3 linked regions of the Diceros bicornis minor genome follow. The protein of the gene in region 1 purifies or fractionates together with the protein of each later gene. This does not show direct contact. Links are inferred from orthologs where the notes say so. Each region holds a gene or a part of one and is shown in the gene's direction. Other genes may lie near its edges. The genes, in order: GET3, BAG6 and UBL4A.

What was found.
Region 2: the proteins of GET3 (region 1) and BAG6 purify together in Homo sapiens (co-immunoprecipitation; 5 studies listed by BioGRID and IntAct, with this or other methods). This does not show direct contact. The link is inferred for Diceros bicornis minor from reciprocal best matches to the Homo sapiens genes GET3 and BAG6.
Region 3: the proteins of GET3 (region 1) and UBL4A purify together in Homo sapiens (affinity purification with mass spectrometry; 4 studies listed by BioGRID and IntAct, with this or other methods). This does not show direct contact. The link is inferred for Diceros bicornis minor from reciprocal best matches to the Homo sapiens genes GET3 and UBL4A.

Annotation. Positions count from the first base shown.
Region 1 is NC_080769.1:4,600,351-4,607,675, reverse strand, and holds the start of GET3 (ATPase GET3), read left to right. Parts: upstream 1-4,278; 5' UTR 4,279-4,365; coding exon 4,366-4,526; intron 4,527-5,363; coding exon 5,364-5,511; intron 5,512-7,325. Other genes in the region: TRIR (telomerase RNA component interacting RNase), read right to left, coding at 91-198, 492-569, 2,496-2,840.
Region 2 is NC_080753.1:33,107,584-33,115,067, forward strand, and holds the start of BAG6 (large proline-rich protein BAG6), read left to right. Parts: upstream 1-4,397; 5' UTR 4,398-4,609; exon of another isoform or gene 4,610-4,632; intron 4,633-4,658; exon of another isoform or gene 4,659-4,672; intron 4,673-4,705; exon of another isoform or gene 4,706-4,772; intron 4,773-5,243; 5' UTR 5,244-5,256; coding exon 5,257-5,364; intron 5,365-6,496; coding exon 6,497-6,614; intron 6,615-6,729; coding exon 6,730-6,926; intron 6,927-7,163; coding exon 7,164-7,217; intron 7,218-7,378; coding exon 7,379-7,453; intron 7,454-7,484. Other genes in the region: APOM (apolipoprotein M), read right to left, coding at 191-216, 609-707, 887-985, 1,080-1,153, 1,442-1,596, 1,990-2,103. UniProt on the Homo sapiens protein: ATP-independent molecular chaperone preventing the aggregation of misfolded and hydrophobic patches-containing proteins.
Region 3 is NC_080781.1:138,425,785-138,433,441, reverse strand, and holds UBL4A (ubiquitin-like protein 4A), read left to right. Parts: upstream 1-4,588; 5' UTR 4,589-4,644; coding exon 4,645-4,692; intron 4,693-4,879; coding exon 4,880-4,985; intron 4,986-5,199; coding exon 5,200-5,414; intron 5,415-5,529; coding exon 5,530-5,640; 3' UTR 5,641-7,125; downstream 7,126-7,657. Other genes in the region: SLC10A3 (P3 protein), read left to right, coding at 2,297-3,733. UniProt on the Homo sapiens protein: As part of a cytosolic protein quality control complex, the BAG6/BAT3 complex, maintains misfolded and hydrophobic patches-containing proteins in a soluble state and participates in their proper delivery to the endoplasmic reticulum or alternatively can promote their sorting to the proteasome where they undergo degradation.

The DNA of each region.
Region 1 (7,325 bases):
CTTGTGGGGGAGGCTGCCGCCGCTGCCGCTGCATTAAATAGTTATGTACATCGCAGAGAGTCCCAGGCCGTGGGCAGGCGGGGAAGGGGGTCATTTCACCAGGGGCCGAGTTTTATCATCGTCGCCGCACTGGTGGGCTTTGTACTTTTTCACCTCTGCCATGTACTTGGCCCATGCGTCACCTTTACTTGTTAATACCTGTTGGTGGGGACACACAGGGGGCGGGAAGGGGATGCCAGGGAGGCCAGGACCCACGGTCAGGACTGTCCTGAGACAGCGGACCCACCCCCAGCGTGACCCCGGAGGTCCTGGGTTGGAAGTCAAGATATGCAGAGTCAAGGTAGCTGGGACCGTGTTGAAAGCCCTCCTCCCCCACCCAGCTCACCCATCCAGGCCCAGACGCTGGAGATGGAGGGTCAGGGCTTGTTGGCCAAGCACTGAGGCCGGAAAAGCAAGGCAACCTGGGCAGCCCCCCACCCCAGCCTGCTCACCTCATCCTCCGTCTTCTGCTTCTTGGCTACTATTCCCGTCTTGAGGGCTAGTTTGTTCCCGCCTCTGCGCTTGCCCACCTGGGTGAAGGGACAGAAGACTGCTACGGTTACAGGAGCCGGGCCCGCCCTTGGCGGCGCTGAGGCCCACCACACCTTCCTAGCCCGGCCCGGTGGCCCGTCCCGACGCCGCGCCCAGCTCCGCCAGCCGGCCGACCTGCGCAGCAATCAGAGAGGAGCACACGCGACTCTTAGCGCCTGCCCCAGGCCCATGATGCCCAGGCAGTCCTGGGCACCCGGGCTGCCCTCCCAGGGAGCGAGATGAACCCCCACATTGGCAGGGACAGGCTCTGTCCTCACTCTCCAGGCTGAAGCCTCCCCCAACCCTAGCAGGAATCACACAGGCAGCAACAGCTCCCTTTATTGAGCACTTACTGGATGCCAAGCCCTGTGCCAAGTGCTTTGGCTGGATTATCGCCTTCCACTTTTACAGTTACCCTAAGATGAAGATTACAACCATCCCCGTTTTACAGGTGAGGAAACATCTTTGAGAAGGAGAGACCTGTACTTTAGTCATGCTGGCAGCAAACAATGGAGCTGGATTCAGGTCAGGTGGGTCTCAGCCACAGAGCAGCATCCGTAACCATCAAGAGACGTTGTCTCTCCCCTGCACCTAACCTGGCCTGGCTTCTTTAAGGGGCCTCCCGCAGTGGCCCCTCCATGAACAAATGAAAAGAGCAGTGACAATGGCTGCTACTCTTGCTCATGGAGGGGCACTCGGCCTCCACCTAGTTCTCACACCAGCCCAGGTCCTAACACTTTCCCTTCCTCCAACACAAGTCTCAACTCTGGACTCTCATCCTGGTCCTCATCTTCTCCCACCCACTGGGGGCTTCCTGAGCCCCTGGGGCTGCAACAGGCTTTCCAGGCATCATCCCATCTCTGCCCCTCAACCAGGCATCAAGGGGCCTGCACTGCTTCATTATTGGCAGATGAAGACACATGACCCCCCCGTCCGTTATTCTCAAGTCAACACTTTTTTCTCCACACCACAGGGACTTGATCTGAACACTAGAGACAAAACAAGTTCAGAGCTGACAATCAATATAGATGCCACTTATTTAGCCTAGAGTTTCTCAACCTGGCACTAATGACGTTTTGAGCAGCATCATTTTTGTTCGAGGGGGAGGGTGGTTCTGTGCATTGTAGGATGCTGAGCAGCGTCCATGGCCTCTACTCACAGATGTCAGTAGCACCCCCCCTCCCAGTTCTGACAACCAAAAACGTCTGCAGACTTTGCCAAGTGTGAGGATGGGGATGGGGGAATCATCCCCAACTGAGAACCACTGGTTTAGCCCTTCCTATACGCCCCTGTGCTAACCGCTTTTCCAGGATGGCCTCACTGAACCCTCATCACAGACGAAGATGAGATGAGATCTAGTTTTGTAAGTAGGGAAAATGAGGGTGGGCCAGCCCAGCTCCACGAAAGCAGCGATCTTGTCTATCACGTTCACCACGGTATACCCAGCACCTAGCAGGATGCCCAGCACAAGGTAAGGCTCAATAAATGGACACTGAACGAATGAGATTCAGGGAGGTCATGCAAATTTCCTAAGGTCACACAGTAAGTAGTCTGAGTCTCTAATTACACAGCTCGGACTTCAGATTTGAATTTGCCCCCTTCCCCAGAGTGGGAGATGGTCCCAGCATGCAAAGTTGGGTGCCACTCAAACAGCAATCCTGGTATCCTGGTTTCCCCATCCCCGGAGCTCTGTTTCCAATGCAACTCCCTCCCGCTCCTGGTTCTTGCGGGCAGGCTCCAGGGGTCCCCACCTCCGCCCCCCGACCTCTCTCGTCGGGAATCCAGGTTCTGCATGCTCAGCGGGTGACCCGGACGGCCCCTCATCGGGGCCGGAGGGTGGACGCATCCTGACCCCCTCTCTCGGGCCCCGATTCCCCCTGCCAAGGCAGGCCCCGGCGCCCGCCCCCACCCCCGCGGCTCCTTACGAAGCTGAGCGTGGGGCCCGGGCCGCCCTTCCTCTTCGGATCCCCGGGGCCCGCGGCGGCGGCCGGCTGATCGGGTCGCGGCGGGCCCGGGGGCGGCTCCTCCTGCCGCTGCCGCTGCTCCTCCTCCATCTTCCGCTTGAACAGCTCCAGGAAGCTGCCGTCGTTGGCGAACAAGTTCACGCCGCCCGACACTGGGCTCGAACCCGCGCCCGACACGTCCTCGTCCCCGCTCTCGGGCGACGTCCCGGGCCCAGACTCAGCCCATCGACTCCCGCCGCCGCCGCCGCTCGCAGGGCCCGGCGCCTCCCGGCCCGGAGGCTCCGCCCGTCTCCCTCGGGCAGCCATTTTGTCGCCAGGTGCCGCGCAAAGGACTCCGGGAAGGCCGCTCGGGCCCCGCGCTTGGCGCCCGACTTGCCTCGTCCCGGGCAATGCATGCCGGGAAAAGCGGTCCGGGCCCCCCAACCCAAGGCGTCCGCAGTGGGGGCGGGGCATGAGGGGCGGGACGAGTGGGGGGTAAGACCCGACGCGGCTGGCCGGCTGGGGGATGCCCAGCCCTGCGGATTTTTATAATTCAGCTAGATTTGGGAAGGCGCTACGCAAGACATGGTCTCCCCGGGAATGGGACCATCGAGAGGGACTGGGGCTATAGCCGGCTCTCCGGAGTGAGATTCCCGCTTGGGACCGGGGGCGCGTTAGCTTTCCGGGGCTAGAATCCCCTTCTGGCACCAGGGATCATCTCAGTGAGGGGAGGGACCCCGTCTGAGGCTGTGTGTTCAGCTGCCATCTCGGAACCTAGGTCCCTAACTAGGTCTAGAGGGCGTATCTAGCCTGGGCCCCTCAAATAGAAATGAGGGTATCTCTGGATTAGGTACCTGTCCCATTTGGGAATAGGGATACGCTGGCTCTGTGAAGCTGGGGTCCTCATCTGAGAATCAAGGTATTATTTTATGGCCTAGAGTACTCAAATAAAGCCACGGAAATTTCTAGGCTGGAGTCCCCATCTAAGGTTGAGTGTCCCCCAAGGGCCTGGGACCCAGCTTGTATTCCTGCCCAGGGCAGAGGTTCAAACAGGGAATTCGCTGAACTGGAGCCTCCCCCTCGAATAGGGAGCCAAGTGCAAGGAAGTTTTCGGGAATAGTGTTCCTACTACGACAAGGAGCGCAGTTGCAGGTGTGGTCCCTGCCCTGGCCTGCCCAGCATGGGGGTTCAGGGAGCACTGGACCGGCTCTGCGGACCTTGCCTACCACTGGAGTCATTCTCCCTCTAACTCACTCGCAGCCCCAGGACTTGTCTCCAGCCAACTAATCGGTTCATCTATGATTGGTTTGCGTCAGGAACCAGGTGGCTCACAGCCAATCGGATAACAGAGGAGACGAACCTGAGGCGATGTCGGGACCTAATTTGGAGAATAGGGAGGAAATGATGGACAGGAAGTTAAGCCTATGGAGTCAGGCCATGGCGGACCTCGAATGTAACTTCACGGAAAGGGCATGAACCGGGTGTTTGGCTGGTTGCTAAGGCGAGGTTGGCGGCTACCGAGACTTGAGAGTGATTGGTGAAAGTAAGAAAAGATGTAGCCAATGAAAGGAGCGCTGCAAGACTTAGGGACCAATCAGTGGAGGGGAGTAGCCAGGAACGTACCAATATGTTAATTAGGCAGGGGGAGTCTTTGAAAAAATGTAGACAAGAAGTCGATAAAGTGAACCCCGGAAGCGGAGGACATAGGAACTATAGCTTCTATTAGCTCCTAAAAGTCAAGCCAAGAGGAAATTAATTCATGTTCCTAGCCTTGATGGGGATGTGCTGGGCAATTTCCCCTGTAGGTGCTCTGCGTGGTGTGCTCCGCTTGATCACGTGAACCGGTTCCAAGATGGCGGCAGGGGTGGCCGGGTGGGGGGTTGAGGCAGAGGAGTTCGAGGATGCGCCTGATGTGGAGCCGCTGGAGCCCACGCTTAGCAACATCATCGAGCAGCGCAGCCTTAAGTGGATCTTCGTCGGGGGCAAAGGTGGCGTTGGCAAGACCACCTGCAGGTAAGAAGGCTGCGACGGGGGCCGGGAAGACGGGTGGGATGTACCACGGGGCGAAGGGGAGGCCGAAGACCGGCTCTTCCACCCCGAGCCGGGCAAGGGGGCTGGGCCGGGGTCTTCCGAGTTCTGCTCCCTGGAAGTTCCCTGGAGCAAATGGAAGATACCTCCTGAATGCAGGCCTGGCACCCTCTGAGTTGGACCATCCCCTTTGCGGCTCAAGGGCCGAACCACAGTGTACCCAACACTCGTGGGCGGCAGAGCAATCAGCTGGACCGTACCAGAGTGAGCTCAGAGTAGGGGGAAGGGCACCGGGGCGCACTATCCTAGTCTAGTGAACCTTGCCATTCTCTGCCCACGTGGGGGTGGTGCTGGAAGGCGGGGAAGAGGGCACGTGATAAGACTCCCATTCCAGCCTCTTCAGCTGGGAGGAAGTGGAGGGCTCCCTGGCGCAAATTATCGTGGATAAGTGGATTGAACCATCCTGAGTTTAGCAGGGGGTGCAAGGGATCCCTTAGCGTTGAGGGAGGGGGCACAGGATCAAACTATGCTGGCTGAGCAGCTGGACCATACCACTCTGTGCCAGCAAAGCAGCAGCAGGCATCAGGCCAGAGCGACTCAGCTGAACCTTACAACTCTAGCCAGTTGGAAGGGACAGTAGGTGAGGTCTGAGAGGGTCCCTCTGCAGGCACTGAGGCTTGATCCCACAGTTACCCCTACTCTCCTCTCAAGGCCCCTGTTGTTCCGGGTCCCGTGTTCCTGGGACCCTCCATCTCCCCGTGCAAACCTAGGGAGCAGAGCCTGATCCCTCCGTCCCCGGCTTTTGACCTTTCCCTTGCCCAGCTGCAGCCTAGCAGTCCAGCTGTCCAAAGGGCGGGAGAGCGTTCTGATCATCTCCACTGACCCAGCCCACAACATCTCCGACGCATTTGACCAGAAGTTCTCCAAGGTGCCGACCAAGGTCAAAGGCTATGACAACCTCTTCGCCATGGTGAGTGGAGCAGACTCAGCTCCCCACTCTGGCAAAGGCCCCTTCAGGCCCTTCCCGTGGACGCCCGCCCTCAGCCACCTTGTCTCGCCCATGCCACATCCACTGTCTCTCCAGTTTCACCGCTTCCTAGACATACCCACAGCGGAAGCAGTGAGGAGGGTTTGCGGAGCAGAAAGGAGGCCAGAGTGACCTGAGCTTAGTGAGCAAGGAGAGGGGAGGGAGACATCGGAGAGGTCACTCAGAGCCGCGTAGTGTGGAACCTCGCAGACCACTGGGAGCAGTTTGGCTTTGAGTCCAAGTTTAATGGGAAGCTGTTCTTTTTTTTTTGTGAGGAGGACCAGCCCTGAGCTAACATCTGCCAGTCCTCTTTTTTTGCTGAGGAAGACTGGCCCTGGGCTAACATCCGTGCCCATCTTTCTCCACTTTATATGGGACGCCGCCACAGCATGGCCTGACAAGCGGTGCGTCAGTGCGTGCCCGGGATTCGAACCCCAGGCCGCCAGCAGCGGAGTGCACTTAACCGCTAGGCCAAGGGGCCGGCCCCTGAAGCTGTTCATTTTAGGCAGGGCAATGTCATGGCCAAATTCATTTTTCAAAAAGTTCCCTGTGGCTGCCATGCAGAGATTGGATTGTAACTCAAGGATGGAAGCAAGGAGACTGGGGCAGTGACCAGGCAAGAGACGATGGCAGCCTGAACTCAAGTGGGGGAGATGTGGTCAAATTTGAGATGTGTTCTGGAAGTAAAGCAGTGTGGCTGCTTAGTTGTAATGGGTCAGGAAAAGAAATGAGTTAAGAACGTCTCCTAGTTGGCTCCCAGAGCAGCTGGGATGGGGAAGACTAGGAGAGGGGCAGGTTTAGAAGGGAGAGGTCAGGAATTCCGCTTTTGCCACAGTGAATCCGAGGTGCCCACTGGACATTCAAGTGGAGATGTTAGGACGGCGTCTTAGTTAGATGAGCCTGGAGCTTGGAGGAGGTTGGCGTTGATTTGGGGGTCATTGTCCCAAGGGTGGTATTTAAAGCTGTGTGAGTGGAGAAGAGCGTGACAGAACAGAGAGGCCTGGAAACAACGCAGGGGCACATCAGCATTAAGGTCCAGCAGAGGAGGAGGAGGAGCTGGGGAAGGAGACCAAGAAAGAGCCAGCGGTGAGGTGGGAGCAGAGCCAGAGGGTGAGCTCCTGAGCTCCAGCGAGGCAGAGGGACTCACGCAGAAGAGGCTGTGGCAGGCACATCAGATTTAAAGAGCTCACCCTGGGAGCGGGGGCAAAAGCCTGCCTGGAGGGGATGAGCTGAGGAGGTGGAGACGGAGTCTGCCCTCATGGGAGCTGAGAAGTGAATGGGAGCTGAGAAGTGAATGGGCCATCGCTGGAGGGAGATGGGAGTCAGGGGTAGGGAGGGCTTTTTTATGCTGACGCAAATGCTCCATCAGGGAAGGACAGTGATGTTGCGGGAGGGAGCAAGGACGCTGGCAGAGGACCGGCCTCAGGCGGGCGGGAGCTCCGTCCAGCACACAGGCTCAGGACTTGGGCTCCGCCAGGGCCAGAAATGCCGAGGCAAGGCGGGGGCCTGGGGCACGTCCTGGGGGGAGATGAGGGTGTTGGCAGCGGTGGCTTCTCTTTCTCGCCGAGACCCCAGGCAGGGCACAAGTCTCATCAGAGAGCAAGGGGCGAATGGGACAGAAGGAGTTGGGGAGGGAGAAGATGTGACATAAACAGCCCCAGGGGCAGACTGGATGGATGGTTGAGTGCCTGCTGGAGATTTGTGATGGGGAATGGGGGGCAAGGTGGGAGTTATTGGTCAGGTGTGTTCCCCCGACA
Region 2 (7,484 bases), on another chromosome or scaffold:
GACTATTGAAATGGGAGTAGTGGGATTGATGTCTGGAGACAAATCCCAATGAGACCCTGATTGAAAATCTTTATTGAAATCCTTATTGAAAAATCATTTTTATTATTCTTCAAAGGGAGCTGGGAGTCTCCAGCTTCTCCTTCTCACCACAATCTCAACTCCCATCATATCCATCAGATGAAGCCACAGGTCAGTTACTGGAGAGCTCGCAGGCCTCTGGTGGGAGGAGGGAGAGAAAAAGAGGATGGAAAGGAAGGAAATCCAGGGAGATTCCCTCATTCCCTCATTCCCCTGTGTTGAGAAGGGATCTCTGAGGACTTTTTCCCTCCATGTCTGACCCTCTGCCCCCTTTATCCACGCAAACTCAGAAACCTCTCTTTTGAGTAGCCCAGAGCCCATCCTGGCTCCCTCAGGTGACATCACAGCTCTTGGCCACATCCCTCTGGTGCCATCACAGCCTGTGACACAAATGGAGGGTCAACACAGCCACTCTGATGATATCAGCCTTTGGCCATGCCCTCTGGTGACATCACTTGAGTCCCTTTCATCCAGCACCTGCAGAAGACTTGGTGAGTCCTAGTCCTCTACTGTGCGACTTTACCCCTCACCTTGATTCCTGGGAGTCAGTAAGAAGGCCTTGGAGTCCAGGCAGGAGGTCAGGGACCGGAATTCCTCCACACAGTTCTCAGGAGGGTGTGGCAAGCGATCTGGAAGGGCAAGGCAGGGCCAGGCCCATCAAAGCCCCTGCTTCTTAGCACTGCCCCTGGTGAGGACCTCATGGAAGCACCCAGCCCTTCCTGGGATGATGCGACAGGGCCCAGAGTGAGGAGCTCTCCTGTCCTCCCGTGTTTCCCTCCAATCCTTCCTGCCTGGCATCCCCACTCACTGTAGAGGAGGAAGCGCTGGTAACCCTGGCCCGTCTCTTTCAGCATGATTCCACCTGGGCATGAGCTAGAGAAGAGCTTGGTCTTCATGTCGGGGCGGCCTGTCAGGGTGGGTGAGGAGAAGTGTGAGGACCGAGATGCAAAACCAAGCAAGCCCAGAGGACTTGGGGAGAGTGAGGACTGGAGAGAACCAACCTTCGGTTCTGAGATCTGTGCTCCCCTCAGTCAGGTGGTAAATCCATCTCCGGGGCACACAGAGCCCATTTTTCCTGCAGAGGTGGTGGTGGCAAGGAGGCAAGACTGAGTGACACCCCAACCACACAGTACCAGCCTCTATTTATTCCATCTTATTCCTTCTTGAAGCCCGGGTCCCCTTGGGTTTCAAGCTACCAAGGGATGGTTAGGCCCATTTCTCTCCAGACTGAAACTAATAGAGCTGTTAAACTCAGAGGGCCAAGAATTGTGGATATGCCAAAGCACTCAGCTCTTTGTGGGTAGGTGCTCACACTTCAGGCAGAGACCGCACCTACTGGTGCCTCTGCCTCCTCACCACTCACGTGCGGATGGTAGCACGAAGCTGGAGCTGCTTGGGGGCAGAGTCTGCAGCCATGTTGAAGACAATGTTGTCCACAGGGTCAAAAGTCACCAACTCCTCCTTGGTGGGAGCTGCTCCTGCGATAAAGTACCACCGGCCCAGGTGGGGCTCTGGGAACTGGAGAGACAATAAGGGGAACAGAAGAGGGTGGGTCCCACTACAGGATCCATCCCATGTCTTCATCAGTCAGGATGGCAAGACGTAGAGGTGGAGATGTTGGCTGCCTTTTTCCAGTTGGGGGTTGGATCCATGACAGGGAGTCACTAAATGACTTTTCCTCTTTGCCCCTCCTCAATCAACCTGAGTAACCACCCCACCCCCCAGTTCTACCATGTCTCCACATTGATGGCCACAGTGTTAATATTTTTTTTACTTGTTCTTGCTTTCATCATCACAACACTCACACCCTCTTCCTCCCTCCTTTTCCCAACGTGGCTTCTGGTCATCCTAGGCCACCACTCAAGTCCCTCAGAGCCCCTACCATAAGTTTCTCCCATTCTCAGTCCATACCTCTTTCCCATCCACTCCCTGAGTTGTCAGTTGACTGTACTCAGGACACTGGTAGATGGAGTTAAGGAGAATGCCATAGAGGTAGAGGAGAGCTGCCCAAATTTGGTGGAACATCTTCAGGCAGGAGGCAGCTGGTGCTCTGCATAGAGTGGTGCCTTAACTGCTCTCTTCCCCCGCTGGCTGCTCAGTCCACTCTGCTTCCAGCCCCCTTGCCTCGACCCTTGACCCTTTCACCTGCTAATGAGTAACTTCAACCTTGTTTTCCAACCCAAGCCTGGATTAGTGTTTGGGCCTTCCTCCCCCTCCTCTAGATGCAACCACTCCACAATACACCCTGGCATGTCCAGGGTCTCTCAGGAATTATAAGGAGAGCTGAGCCCTCCAGGCAGAAGCCTGTGGTCTTTCAACCCATATCTGAGCTGGGTATCTGCTGTGTTGTGCAGCATCCAAGAGTGGTGGATTGATTCATTCATTCACTTAGCAAACTGTGTTGAGTCCCAGCTGTTTGCCAGGAACTGGCTAAGCCCTGGGGACATAAAAATGAATAAGACACAGTCCCTGGCCTTGAAGCAGTCAGTCTAAGGAAAACTAGCTGTGTAAACAAATCACTGCTGTACAACCTGGGAAGTGCTTTAGAACAGGTACAAACCACGTGCTGGGGCATGGTGGATAGGAGGCTTCCTCTCTGAAGTTTATAATTGAGGAAACAATATGTACGCTCTCCAGAAAAGTTTCCTGACACATAAGTGAATTCATTCACTCAACGTTTATTACTACAAGAGGCTATATAATCTAGTGGTTGAAGAGGACAGACATTGGTGTCAGGCATAGTGGGTCCAAACCCTAACTCTACTATTCATTAGATTTTGGACAATTTTATTAATCCTTATGCCTGTTTTTTCATCTGTGAAATGAGCAACTCATCAGTCTCATGGGATTAAAAAAGATAATGCACATAAAGCCCTTAGCAAAGGCCTGCACACGGTAAGTCCAAAGTAAATACTCTCTATAATTAATAGTAACGTTTGTAAAGCACTTATTACAGTTTCTGGTGGCTAATAAGTTTTCAAATAGGAGATAAGGAAAGAATTGTCAAGAGGCAGTCATTGGATAGTGCCAAGTGGGTGGAGCAGTTAATGCAATAAAAGGTGGGGCTTCCTTAATAGATTGTTTATAACCCACAGACTGCCAAAAAGAGATTTGTCCTGAGAGGTGAGGCTTGCTATGGGCTTGTGATTGAACAAAATTTGGGAGATGGGTATATCAGGATTCATTATACTATTCTATTTTGGGGTAATGTTTGACATTTTTTGATAATTAAAAACTAAAATACAACGATTTATTGGGACAGTAAAGTAGAAGTGCTTGACCCAGAGCGTGCTGGGCCTGGATCTGTCGGTTCTGCCACTTACGTTCGCCTAGGTGCACTCACCTATACAACGGATGTAGTAACTATCTCAGATGTTGAAAGGCTTTTAAATATGACTACGTAAATCTCTTAGCAAATCGGCGGGCGCAAACTAAGTGCTCACTAAACAGGTGCTTATCAGAACTCTTAACTGAAGCAGTACTGGGACCTGGGTATAAACTATAAAAAGGCAGGGCAAGGGAGTCAGGCACCCCGGCAGCGACGAGTCTGACTGGAAGAGTCGCAGCGCCTCGGGGTCGATGCCCTTGCCCGAGAGCGGGGGTGGGAGGAGAAGAGGGGAGAGAGGCGGTAACTACCTCGCCCCCGCAACCCCCGCCTGCGGAAGCCCCTTAGCAGCCCCTTCAATTCCCCGGAGTCAGTCTTGTGTTTCAGTCCAGTCTGACTCATTTGCTCCCGATTTCCAAACTCAGAAGCGCCCTTTTTTTTGACAAAAGTCCTGAAAGGTGGCAAATCCTTAGCTTCTCCAAAACATGGCGTGTCGCCTCAGCCGTGCACCGCCGGCGAGGAACATGGCGCCCACACTCCGCAAAACGCCCACCGGCAGGACCGAAGTCAGGCCCAACGACTTGATCGCACGCAGGACAGCTCGCGAACCACCTCCAACCGCCTACGGAAAGGGTGACTTCCGCAGGCGCCGAAGATTGGCGCAGCGAGGGCGACAGTGACAGGAAGACAGACTCTTAGGTGGCCAGGACAGTGCCGTATCAAATTCTCTGCCGGCCAAGACTTTAATATAGATTAACGAGGCACAATCCCCAGTATCCAAACTCCAACATCCACAGAACCGTCGGAAGCCTCGCGAGGCAGTCGTACAGTCCCATCTGGTAATTTTTTTTTTCAGGCATTTACAGTGCCCACCTTAACGTCCTATTGCTCGAGCGCGCGCGCAGGAGAAATGCACAGCTCCAGCGGGGGTGGGGCGGTGCCTAAGTGTGTACGCAGGCGCAGTGCCACGCACGCAGGCGCAGTACGGTCCCCCAGGCGACGGCGGCGGCGGCTCCTCGAGGGCTCGGCTCCTTCCCATCTAGGCCGGGCCCGGTCCGTCTTGCCCCCAGGAACTCACTGTTTGGGGCCGCGGACTTCCTGGTCGTGCCCCACAAAAGTAAAGCTTGGGGACCTAGGAGGAGCCGGAAGTACCGCCTCGCGATCCCCAAATACTATCGGGGAAACGGAAGTGGCCGTCGGTGGCAGGTTAGGGGAGACCGGAAGTGACGGTACCGTGGGGAAGTCGGGGGCGGAGCCGCGGAGTGGTGGGTGGGTGGGTGGGTGTGTGTGTGTGTTGGTTGCGCCGCTCTGCTGGAGCACCGAGGGAAAGCGGAAGAGGGGGGCAGTCAGCTAGCCGGTCTGGCCCCCCGTGAGTGTCGGTCATCTCCGGTCTGTGGTGACTTAGGCGCGTTCGATGGTCGTGGCGTAGCGCGCCTGCGCGAAACCACTTTCTCCGCAGTCTGGCGCGACCCTCTCACTCGCGTTGTTACAGGATTTGCCGACCTTTGGGGCCCTTGTCTTATCGCGACCGGTGATGACACTGGTCTCTTGCTTTCTTCCCTGCTTCCTATCCCGATTGGCCCTCCCTTATTGTGATTGGCATCGTGGAGCCCCTCCCACGTCCCGTTCCTCCAGCTCCTTGTGCCGTCGATCTCCTGCCCTTTGTGTTTCTCTCCCTGTGCCCCGGAATCAGAAGGGGGATGGGGGCGGGTGTGAGTGTGTGTGCTTGTGTGAGAGAAACCCTTTAGGTATTGGGGCGGAGACTCAGGCCGGGAGGCTTCCGGATATATAAAATCTGTTCTGGGCGACAGCGGGCCTCCCTCCTTCCATTCTTCCTTAGAGAGCTGTCGGCCATGGAGCCCAGTGATAGTACCAGTCTCACTATGGAAGAGCCTGACACCCTGGAGGTGCTGGTGAAGACCCTGGACTCTCAGACTCGGACGTTTATTGTGGGGGCCCAGGTGAGACCCCAGTACTTCTGTTAAGACACCTATTAACTCTTTCTCTTGTAGGCCCCTTAGCCTAAGAGAAGAGCCTGATTTTCTGGTCCTCAAAATTTCTTGCATTAATTTCTTTGTTCATATTCTAGGCAGAACATTTACTGATGTTTCTTGTTGAGTGAGAAGGTATGGTTTCTGTTGAATGAGGCAGATTTTGTTCTGTCTTCCTCCACCTCGATAGAACTCAATGCAGAGGGAAATATGGAGGAAGAAGGAATCTGTATGCTATCACCATAAGTGAACCCCAGACCAAGGGGCCAGACATGGCTTCTGCCTTTGGGAAGGGAAACAGGACACACAGACCCAAACGCAAGTGTGTCTTAAAAACAAAAATTGGTCGGGTCTATCCTGTGTTTTTAAAGGCTAGAAATCGGAGCCCCTAATGCAGGTAGAGCCCTAATAGACTGTTGAGTGGAATTACTAAGATTTCTGGCATAATTCCTATCTTTTGAGTTTAACACCATGGGGACATGCCATTACTCCTGTAATACTTGGAGACAAAATTGTGAGGAGTTGGTCCATGATTTTTAGAGCATGGTATTACATGTATTTAAGAAAACCGTATAAACTTTTTCAAGTAGATGTATGTAAATAGCCTGATACTTCCCAAGAATCAGTTGTCTAGTTAGTAAAACTTTTTTTGTTTTTTGCTCCCTTCTCTCTCTCTTCTTGGTTGAGTCTTCCTTCCTTGCCCTGATTCTCCACCCCATTTTCCTTGTCATTGCTTTTATCTTTGAGATTACAGAATTGTATCGTTTTGTGTTTGGGGAGGGGTCACCGGTGTCTTTAGACACACATTCCCCTGGGAGCCAGGTAGAGAAAGAGAAAAGAGAATGTCTCTTGGCTTTTCTGTTTCTTAGCTATGTAATTTTCTGCTAGGTGTATAACTTGAACTTTGCTAAGTTTATTGTCTGTATTTTGACCGCTGTTGTCTTAGTTTGGGGCTTTGCCCAATAATTACTTCACAAGTCAAATGGGTAGTGATTTTATGATGGGATGGTTTTTACCCCTTATCCCCACAAGTCAATTGTCCTTCTGTCCTTCTTCTTTCTTCCATCCCTTGATACCTATTCGTGTCTTTTCTTTGTTACAGATGAATGTAAAGGAGTTTAAGGAACACATTGCCGCCTCTGTCAGCATCCCTTCTGAGAAACAACGGCTCATCTACCAGGGCCGAGTTCTGCAGGATGATAAGAAGCTCCAAGAATACAGTAAGCGGGTGGGGAAGGCAGTTCAGAGGTTGAGGCAGCTGTCCAGAGGGATGAGCTGAGGCTGTGGGTTTACCTGCTCACATAATGTTTTGGTGTGTATCTTTTTTTTCTGCAGATGTTGGGGGAAAGGTTATCCACCTTGTGGAACGGGCTCCTCCTCAGACTCAGCTCCCTTCTGGGGCATCTTCTGGGACAGGGTCTGCCTCAGCCACCCATGGTGGGGGACCTTCCCCTGGTACTCGGGGGCCTGGGGCCTCTGTTCATGACCGGAATGCCAACAGCTATGTCATGGTTGGAACCTTCAATCTTCCTGTAAGCTTGTGTTCCATGTGGAAGAGTTTTTGTGGGGAAGGGTAGTTTTGGTTGTGGTAGCAAAGAGCTCATAAGACAGGTGTCCCAGTCTTTAGATTGGGTTTGTAGGCCCCTGTGGTCTGATAACGGCCTCAGTCTCTGAGGAGAAGAGGGTTGGGGCTCCAGAGAACGAGTTGGAAGTGTGGGGGCCTTAGTATTTGGCTTCTCCCAGAGCAACTTCCCTTACCCTTTCCCCAGAGTGACGGCTCTGCTGTGGATGTTCACATCAACATGGAACAGGCCCCGATTCAGGTATCACGGGGCCTGGGAGGGCCAGGGAAGGGGATCTGGGAGAAGGAGGCTGTGAGGTGGGGGTGGACCTGGCTGAGCAGATAGCTGGGACCTGGTTTGGTAGATGGTGGAGCTCATGGCTTCATCTCAAACCTGCCCTAATCTTCCCTCTCTTGTTGTAGAGTGAGCCCCGAGTACGGCTGCTGATGGCTCAGCACATGATCAGGGATATACAGTCCTTACTCTCCCGGATGGAGGCAAGTGTGCAAGCCTGGCTGGGGTCTGTCT
Region 3 (7,657 bases), on another chromosome or scaffold:
GGCTTGAGGGCGCCTTCCGCGACCCAAGACCGCCAGGGCGGGCCGCTGGCCTGGCCGCCTTCCGGGTCGCGGTTGGCGACTACGGGGCAGCAGCCTGAGTCCGGCGGCGGCGCCCTCCTCCTTCCCTCCGTCCCGGGTTCGCGCCCGAGCTCTGCTCGTGCCCAGTCCGACAACTTCCGGACTCCCAGGTAGGGAGGAGCCCCGAGTCAGCACTGCCAACTGCCCTAACACCGAACACTCAGCCAGTGTGGAAAAAGCAGCCAGCCTGGGGTTCCTTCCCCTGCCTTGGGGTGCATCTGCTCAAACTCTTCTGGCCCCTCAAGCAGAAATGGTGTGGGATCTGGGCCAGACCCCTCTTGCAGTGACTCAAAGCCGCCAGCTGAACTGGAAGGACAGGGTGGATGACCCTTAGCCTCCTCTCCCTTCTGAACTGGTTCACACCACCGCGGTGGCTTCAGTCCCAGGTGCCTTCATCTTTTCCCTGTGACTCCCCTTCACTTTGCTTCTCATACTCCCTCTGGTTTGCCTGCCTTCCTCTTCAGCGGTGGGACACAAGGCTGGACCAAGGCCTCCAGGGTAAGTGACCCAAACTCCAAACCAGCCAAGACCATGGCATCCCAGGAGGCTGGGGGGAGACATTCCCAAGGATGAGCCTTTTGCTTAACCTGCCCTCCACCTCCTGCCTCCCGCGCTCCCCAGTCTCAGATGGCTGAGTGGGGGCAGGGACAAAGACTGTCAGGATCTACAGAGGCAGGGGCCTCTTCCAGGACTGGGACACTGCAGGGCGTGAGGCAACCAACAGTAGTGATGAAAAACCAGTGTCCCCATCCTGGTTGCCCCAGTCCCAGCAGGTGATGTGGCAATTGGATGGTGGCTGCCCAAACCTCCTCCTTTCACCCTGAGGCACCCCGCCCATGAGAAACACTCATAGTCCCCCTGGGCATTCCAGGCTCTGGTAGGGTGCGTGTGGGCATGGGGAGGAGCCCCTGGACTCCGAGCAGAGCCTCTCAGGTGTGACACAGTGGCTCTAGGAGCTCAAATTCTGGGACTGCCAGAGGAGTGGAAGTTCTGACAGAAGGAGAAGAAGCCCCCCAGCAGACATGTGGTCCTATCAGGCCCCCTCCTGCTGCCCCTTCTGGTGACTTCTCTGGGGAGAGGGGACCTGCTCCCCAGAGAAGAACCCCCATCTCCCCACTGTCAGCAGGTAGGGGAGGCCAGGGAACCATGGTGGCACCATTCACAACTGCACGTTGGTGGTGGACATCAGCCCCTGGGGCCTTCGGCCGGATGGTCACCCACTGCCCACGCCACTTTGCCAGCTGCTTTCTTCCTGGCAGATGATACTCAAATGCCCTAACCTGCACTCTGATGGTCTCTCAGATCTGGCCCAAGCCAGTGTTTCTTTTTTTTTTTTTTTTTTTTGTGAGGAAGATCAGCCCTGTGCTAACATCTGCCAATCCTCCTCTTTTTTTGCTGAGGAAGACTGGCCCTGGGCTGACATCTGTGCCCATTGTCCTCCACTTTATATGGGACGCTGCCACAGCATGGCTAGCCAAGCAGTGCGTCTGTGCGCGCCTGGGATCCGAACCGGCGAACCCCAGGCTGCCGCAGCGGAGCGCACGTACTTAACAGCTTGCGCCACCGGGTCAGCCCCAGCAAGCCAGTGTTTGTATCAGCACCCTTTGCTCTCATCAAGCTTGTCTCCTTGTCATCCCTGGGCAGCCTTTCAGAGATTTCATCGTGGTTGTGGGATTGCTGCGGCCCTGCTGTAGCTGCGTCTCGAAGCTGGTGGGGAACAGGCTAGTGGTGACAGGATTGGGGGTGGCTCTCCCGAATCCCTTGGTATCAGGATGTCTCTGCATGGTCACCATGCTGGGCAAGTCCAGGGAAATGAGCGGGTAGCAGCAGCCTGAACGGGAACTGCTATCTGTGAGTGTGTCCTCTGGGTGAGGGATAGGAAGCTTGAGGCAGTTGTGCTGGGTGAGAGGACAGCCGAATGGCACTCAAGGGCCAGCACTAGGCATTGCCTTTCTGTTCCCGGGCTTGGGGCAAGGGGCCCCACTGAGTCTCCCAGCAGTGGGCTTCCAGATCCCCAGGCTCCTGGGCTCACAGCTGCTCGCCCTCACCAGCCCCCTCTCTGTGTCCCTTTCCTCCTCAGGAAGAGCTCTGCCATCAAGGAAGGCAGCACAGGGCCAGGGCCCGCCTATGGACCCTTCTCAGGACAACCCAACGGTACCAGCAGGACTGCTCTCCTAAGCCACAGAGGGTCTGGGCTCGCCAGCCTTCAGGAAGAGCCATGGTGTTTAGGAGGGGCAGGGGCAGCTCCCAGCAGTGGCCTGGCCTGGGAGGGGGCAGTGGTTGCACAGGCCACCTAATCATGCTCAGGACTGCACTGCTGCTTTTCAGCCTGCCATGGGGGGCCTGGGGAACAGCCAGTGCCAACCTCAGCACGGCTCTGGGCCATACTGTGCCACTGACAGAGGGCCGCTACTTGAGCATTGGGGATGGCTCTGTGATGGAGTTTGAGTTCCCAGAAGAGAGCGAGGGCATCATTGTGATCTCGAGCCAGTACCCAGGCCAGGGCAACAGGACGGTGCCAGGCCCCACGCTAAGAGTCACCTCCCTGGACACAGAGGTGCTGACCATCAAGAATGTGAGTGCCATAACCTGGGGTCGGGGGGGCGGCTTTGTGGTGAGCATCCACTCAGGCCTGCCTGGGCTAGCCCCACTCCACATCCAGCTCGTGGATCCCCACAAGGCCCCACCTATGCTGATTGAGGATCGGAGAGATTTCTGCATCAAGGTCTCGCCTGCTGCCGAAGACGCCCCTGCCACCCTTGGCGCCGACCTGGTCCACTTCTCAGAGAACCCAATACTCTACTTGCTCCTGCCTCTTATCTTTGTCAACAAGTGTTCGTTCGGGTGCAAAGTGGAGCTCAAGGTTCTGAAGGGGCTCCTGCAGAGCCCCCAGCCCATGCTGTTGGGCCTCCTGGGTCAGTTTCTGGTCATGCCCTTCTATGCTTTCCTGATGGCCAAGGTCTTCATGCTGCCCAAGGCCCTGGCTTTGGGCCTCATCATCACCTGCTCGTCGCCTGGCGGCGGGGGGAGCTACCTCTTCAGCCTCCTCCTTGGAGGGGATGTCACTCTGGCCATCTCCATGACTTTCATCTCAACTGTGGCTGCCACTGGTTTCCTGCCACTGTCCTCAGCCATCTACAGCCACCTGCTCAGCATCCATGAAACACTCCACGTGCCCATCTCCAAGATCCTGGGGACCCTGCTGTTCATCGCCATCCCCATAGCAGCAGGCGTAGTGATCAAGTCCAAGCTCCCCAAGTTCTCCCAGCTGCTGCTGCAGGTTATCAAGCCCTTCAGCTTTGTGCTGCTCCTGGGTGGCCTCTTCCTGGCCTACCGCATGGGAGTCTTCATCCTGGCGGGCGTCAGGCTGCCCATCGTGCTGGTGGGCCTCACAGTGCCCCTGGTTGGCCTCCTGGTGGGCTACGGCCTGGCCACATGCCTGAAGCTGCCAGTGGCCCAGCGGCGGACAGTCAGCATTGAGGTAGGGGTGCAGAACAGCCTGCTGGCCTTGGCCATGCTGCAGCTGTCCCTCCGCCGCCTTCAAGCCAACTATGCCTCCCAGGCCCCCTTCATCGTGGCACTGAGTGGCACCTCAGAGATGCTGGCCTTGGTCATTGGCCACTTCATCTATAGCAGCCTGTGCCCAGTTCCCTGAGGCCCCTGGGTCAAGCTTTTGCCACCCCTAGCCCCCACCCTCCACCCACTGTCCCCACAGTTCTTGTGTACCAAAGGCCTTTAGTTCTCATGCACTATGCACTCAGAAAAGTCCAGGCTGATTTTTTTTTTACTGGTTTTTTATTCTCCAGCTTTCAGTGCCAAAGAGGCTATGCTGACTTAGGTAGGTAGGCACTGCCCAGAAAATATATTTCAATAAAAGAGAGAAGCAAGCTTGGGTCCCTTCCCGTCTTTGCCCTTTAAGGCCTGGGGGTGGGGGTAGGAAGGGTGTGGCTGGGTAGGTGTGGGTCGGCGTGGAGGACTGGCTTGGGTGACACGGTGATCTCTGTGCAGACTTTCTTTCTCAGCCCTCCTTCTCCACGCACCCCCTCTGTGAGAGGTGGGCCTCTCTGTTCTAGAATGAGCCACGGGAGCATGCGGGCAGAGGCCTGGCTCCTGCCTGCTCCCAAGCTCAGCTGGTTTTCTTCAGCCAGACTAGAAAGGAGACAGCAGGCCCGCCGCGGGCACTGGGGTAAGCTTGGCAGGGCTGGGCCGTCTGTGGATTCCTGAGAGACACAGACCGGGCGATGGCGCTGCCCTGCTCCGCCGGTGGCCCTCCCTCCTCCCCAGACGAGGCCGGCCCCACCCATTCCTCCTCTCTGTCCCGGCGGGCTTCCCGCGCCATCGCCGTGGGGGACCTGTCGCCGGGGCGGGTCCCTGCGCGCCGGCGAGGCGGGACATCAAGGGGACTCCTCCTCCGGGGGTGGAGGGGGCGGGGCCGGGGCGCCGGGCGCGCCCCTCTCGCTGCTTCCGGCGGCGGCGGGTGGTTCCGGCGCGCGCCCGGGGCGGCGGCGCGCGGCGGGGGGGCGGTTGGGGTGCGCGCCGGCCGGAGTGGACGCCGCCGCGGCCGCCATGCAGGTGACGGTGAAGGCGCTCCAGGGCCGCGAGTGCAGCTTGCAGGTAGCGTCGCCGGGCCCCGTCGCCGGGCCGGCTCGCGCCCTCAACCCCAGCCCCGGGCGTAGGGCCGGGCAAGCCGAGGGCGGGAACGGGGACGGGGCGGGCGGGCCAGCCGCGCCGGGGAGGCCGGGAGAGCGCCCTCGGCGGGAACTCGGGCTCAGCCCCTGCCTCCCACCCTCGGCCCGGCCAGGTGTCGGAGGATGAGCTGGTGTCCACGCTGAAACATCTGGTCTCCGAGAAGCTGAACGTCCCCGTGCGCCAGCAGCGGTTGCTGTTCAAGGGCAAGGCCCTGGCAGGTAACCGGAGAGAGGAGACGCCCCAGGGGCCCCGCAGGAAGTCGGGGGACAGGATATCCAGGCCGAGCCCGGGCAGCGGTGAGGGTCTGGGCGCTGGCCACTTGAGGGGAGGTTGCTGAACCTTCCTCAGCCAGATGCGGCAGCACTCCGGCTGCTGGGGCTCCTTGAGGCCACCCTTGCCGCTGTGGGTAACAACTTAATCTCTCTTTGGCAGATGGGAAAAGACTCTCCGATTACAGCATTGGGCCCAATTCCAAGCTCAACCTAGTGGTCAAACCTCTGGAGAAGGTGTTACTGGAAGAAAGCGCTGCCCGGAGACTGGCCGAGACCCCACCCCCACCCCCACCCGCCTGGCAACTGATCTCCAAAGTCTTGGCCCGCCACTTCAGTGCTGCTGATGCCAGCAGAGTCCTGGATCAACTACAGAGGGTGAGAAGGGTAGCCTGGCCCATCCCCTTCTGCCCCTGCTGCTCCCACCCCTGGCCTCTGTCACAGTGTACTGCCCGCTGGCACCCCCTGAATCCTCCTGACTTTCTCCCCTCAGGATTATGAGAGGTCCTTGAGTCGCCTGACCCTGGATGACATCGAACGCTTGGCTAGCCGCTTCCTGAACCCCGAAGTGACTGAAGCTATGGAGAAAGGGTTCTCCAAATAGGATTCTCTGAGTGTGGGGAGGAGCCCGCCAGGCTGCAAGCTGCATGTAGCATTAAATGTGTTCTCATGTTGCAATTTGGCTCATAATAGTAATAGCTGGCAAGTATCCCTCCCTGGCTCTTGCTAGGTGCCAGGCACCTCGCACAAAAGGTGAGACAGCTGAGGCTCCTGGCAATGAAGTGATGGAGCCAGAACCTGAGTCCAGCCAGCTTCTAGAAGTGCCTCAGGGTGAGAAGGAGAAACGGGCTGTTGGAAGGGTTCCAAGGGATGGGCTTTGGCATTTTGTGTTTAGCCCACTGAGAATAAACCCTCGAGCGACTCCTTTCCAGGTCTGAAAGGGGAAGCAGCTGGCCCCTGCTGCCCAGTCCTGTCACCTGACCTCTGGCAGGTCTAGCATTGGTGGGAGGCCAAGTGGCAGCCAGCCCGGAGCCCCCTCAGCTGCTGCAGCAAGTGCACTCGACGCAAGATATGCAGGTTGGGGAATCAGGGATGAACGTCGCCCAGCTCTGCAGTATGACTTCAAGCAAGTCCCTGTGCCACGTTGGTCCCCAGCTGTTGACTCTGCACAATGAGGGCCAGTCCTTAAACCTCAGTCAATTTCCTTCATCCTTACCCCAGCCCTGGGGTGAGGAGTTGGCGGTGATCCTCCCTCTTGTTTTCCATAAACAAACTGAGGCCAAAAGCCAAGCGATGGCCAAATGTGGCCCAGAGATGGGGTGTCCGAGCCTTTTGTGTCACAGCTCTTATGTGGGCACCCCCCCCCCCGCTTGTACCCTCCTGGACACGGGCAGTTCTCACCCCTTCGGAATTACAGGTCACTGGCTTGAGGTCACTCAACGAGGCAGTGCGAGAGCTAGGCCTCAGCCAGGCCCCTGTACCCTGCGCTCACCCATAGCGTGGAAGGGATCCTTCCCCTGCCACGTGTGTACAAGGGCTTTCACTTTGCACACCCCTCACTGCCTGAGACGAAACCTCGGGTGCCAGGGACGGGGAAGAAGCATGGGCTAGTGGCACTGGTCCTCCCACCCTCCCTGGTGTGTGGGCACTAGAGGTCATCTACGAGCCTCCTTCTTAAAGGAGGGCATCCGGGGTGGTTAAGGCTGGAAGGAAGCTGCCCTCCAGCCTGGGCCTCTTGGGGCAAACGCTGGGTCCCCAGGCTGGGAAGATGAACAGAGGTCTGATGGGCAAAGGCTTTGAGGAGCAGACAGAAGCCCCTGACCCCAGTTGAGAGCTGGGAATAGCAAACAGGGCCCACTTAGGAGCCCGTGTGGTCTGGCAGCTCATGTGACAGACTTAGCAATGCTCTCATTTCTTTTGAGTCAGGAACTTGATGTTGAAATTTTAAATAGCACTCAAGGTGAATGTGAGACTTGGACTTTTATCCAAAAGGAACTATATTAGCTAGGCTGCTTTTGGTTTCCAATAATTGATTTAACCGTAAAGGAAATTGATTTAAACAATAAAGGAAACTTACTGGTTTACGAAACTGAGAAGTCCAGGCCTATTGGCAGCAGATGAACAATTTCAGCAAATACCCAGTTTCTTCCTACCTCCCCTCTGCATTCTGCAGTGTCTGCTTCATCCCAGGCCGCTGCCTCAAGATCCAAATATGGCTGCCCTGAAGCTTCCACTGAATCCCTCATTCACAGCCAGCAAGGAGCACCTTCTCGCCCTATAGTGTAGCTTATTTCTCAGATGCCCCTGACAAATAAACGCTGTCCTTTCATTGGTCAGAACTGGGTTGTGCCACCAATCATTTTGGCTGGGCGTGAGGTGGACAGTGGGAGGCCAGCCCCCTGGACACCCATGGGCTGTGGGAGGGAGAGGGGATTCAACAAAAGCCAGGTCCGCAGGAATGGCTGACTGGTCCACTGCAGGGGAGTGACACACGCAGATGCAAGTTTCAGACAGACCCTAGAGATGGTCATTGAGTCCCTTGTGCCAGCACCTCTCGGCTCGGAAGTGACAGAGCCATCTGGTGGTTAGGAGCCATTCACTGGGCAGTTGGACACGGGGAC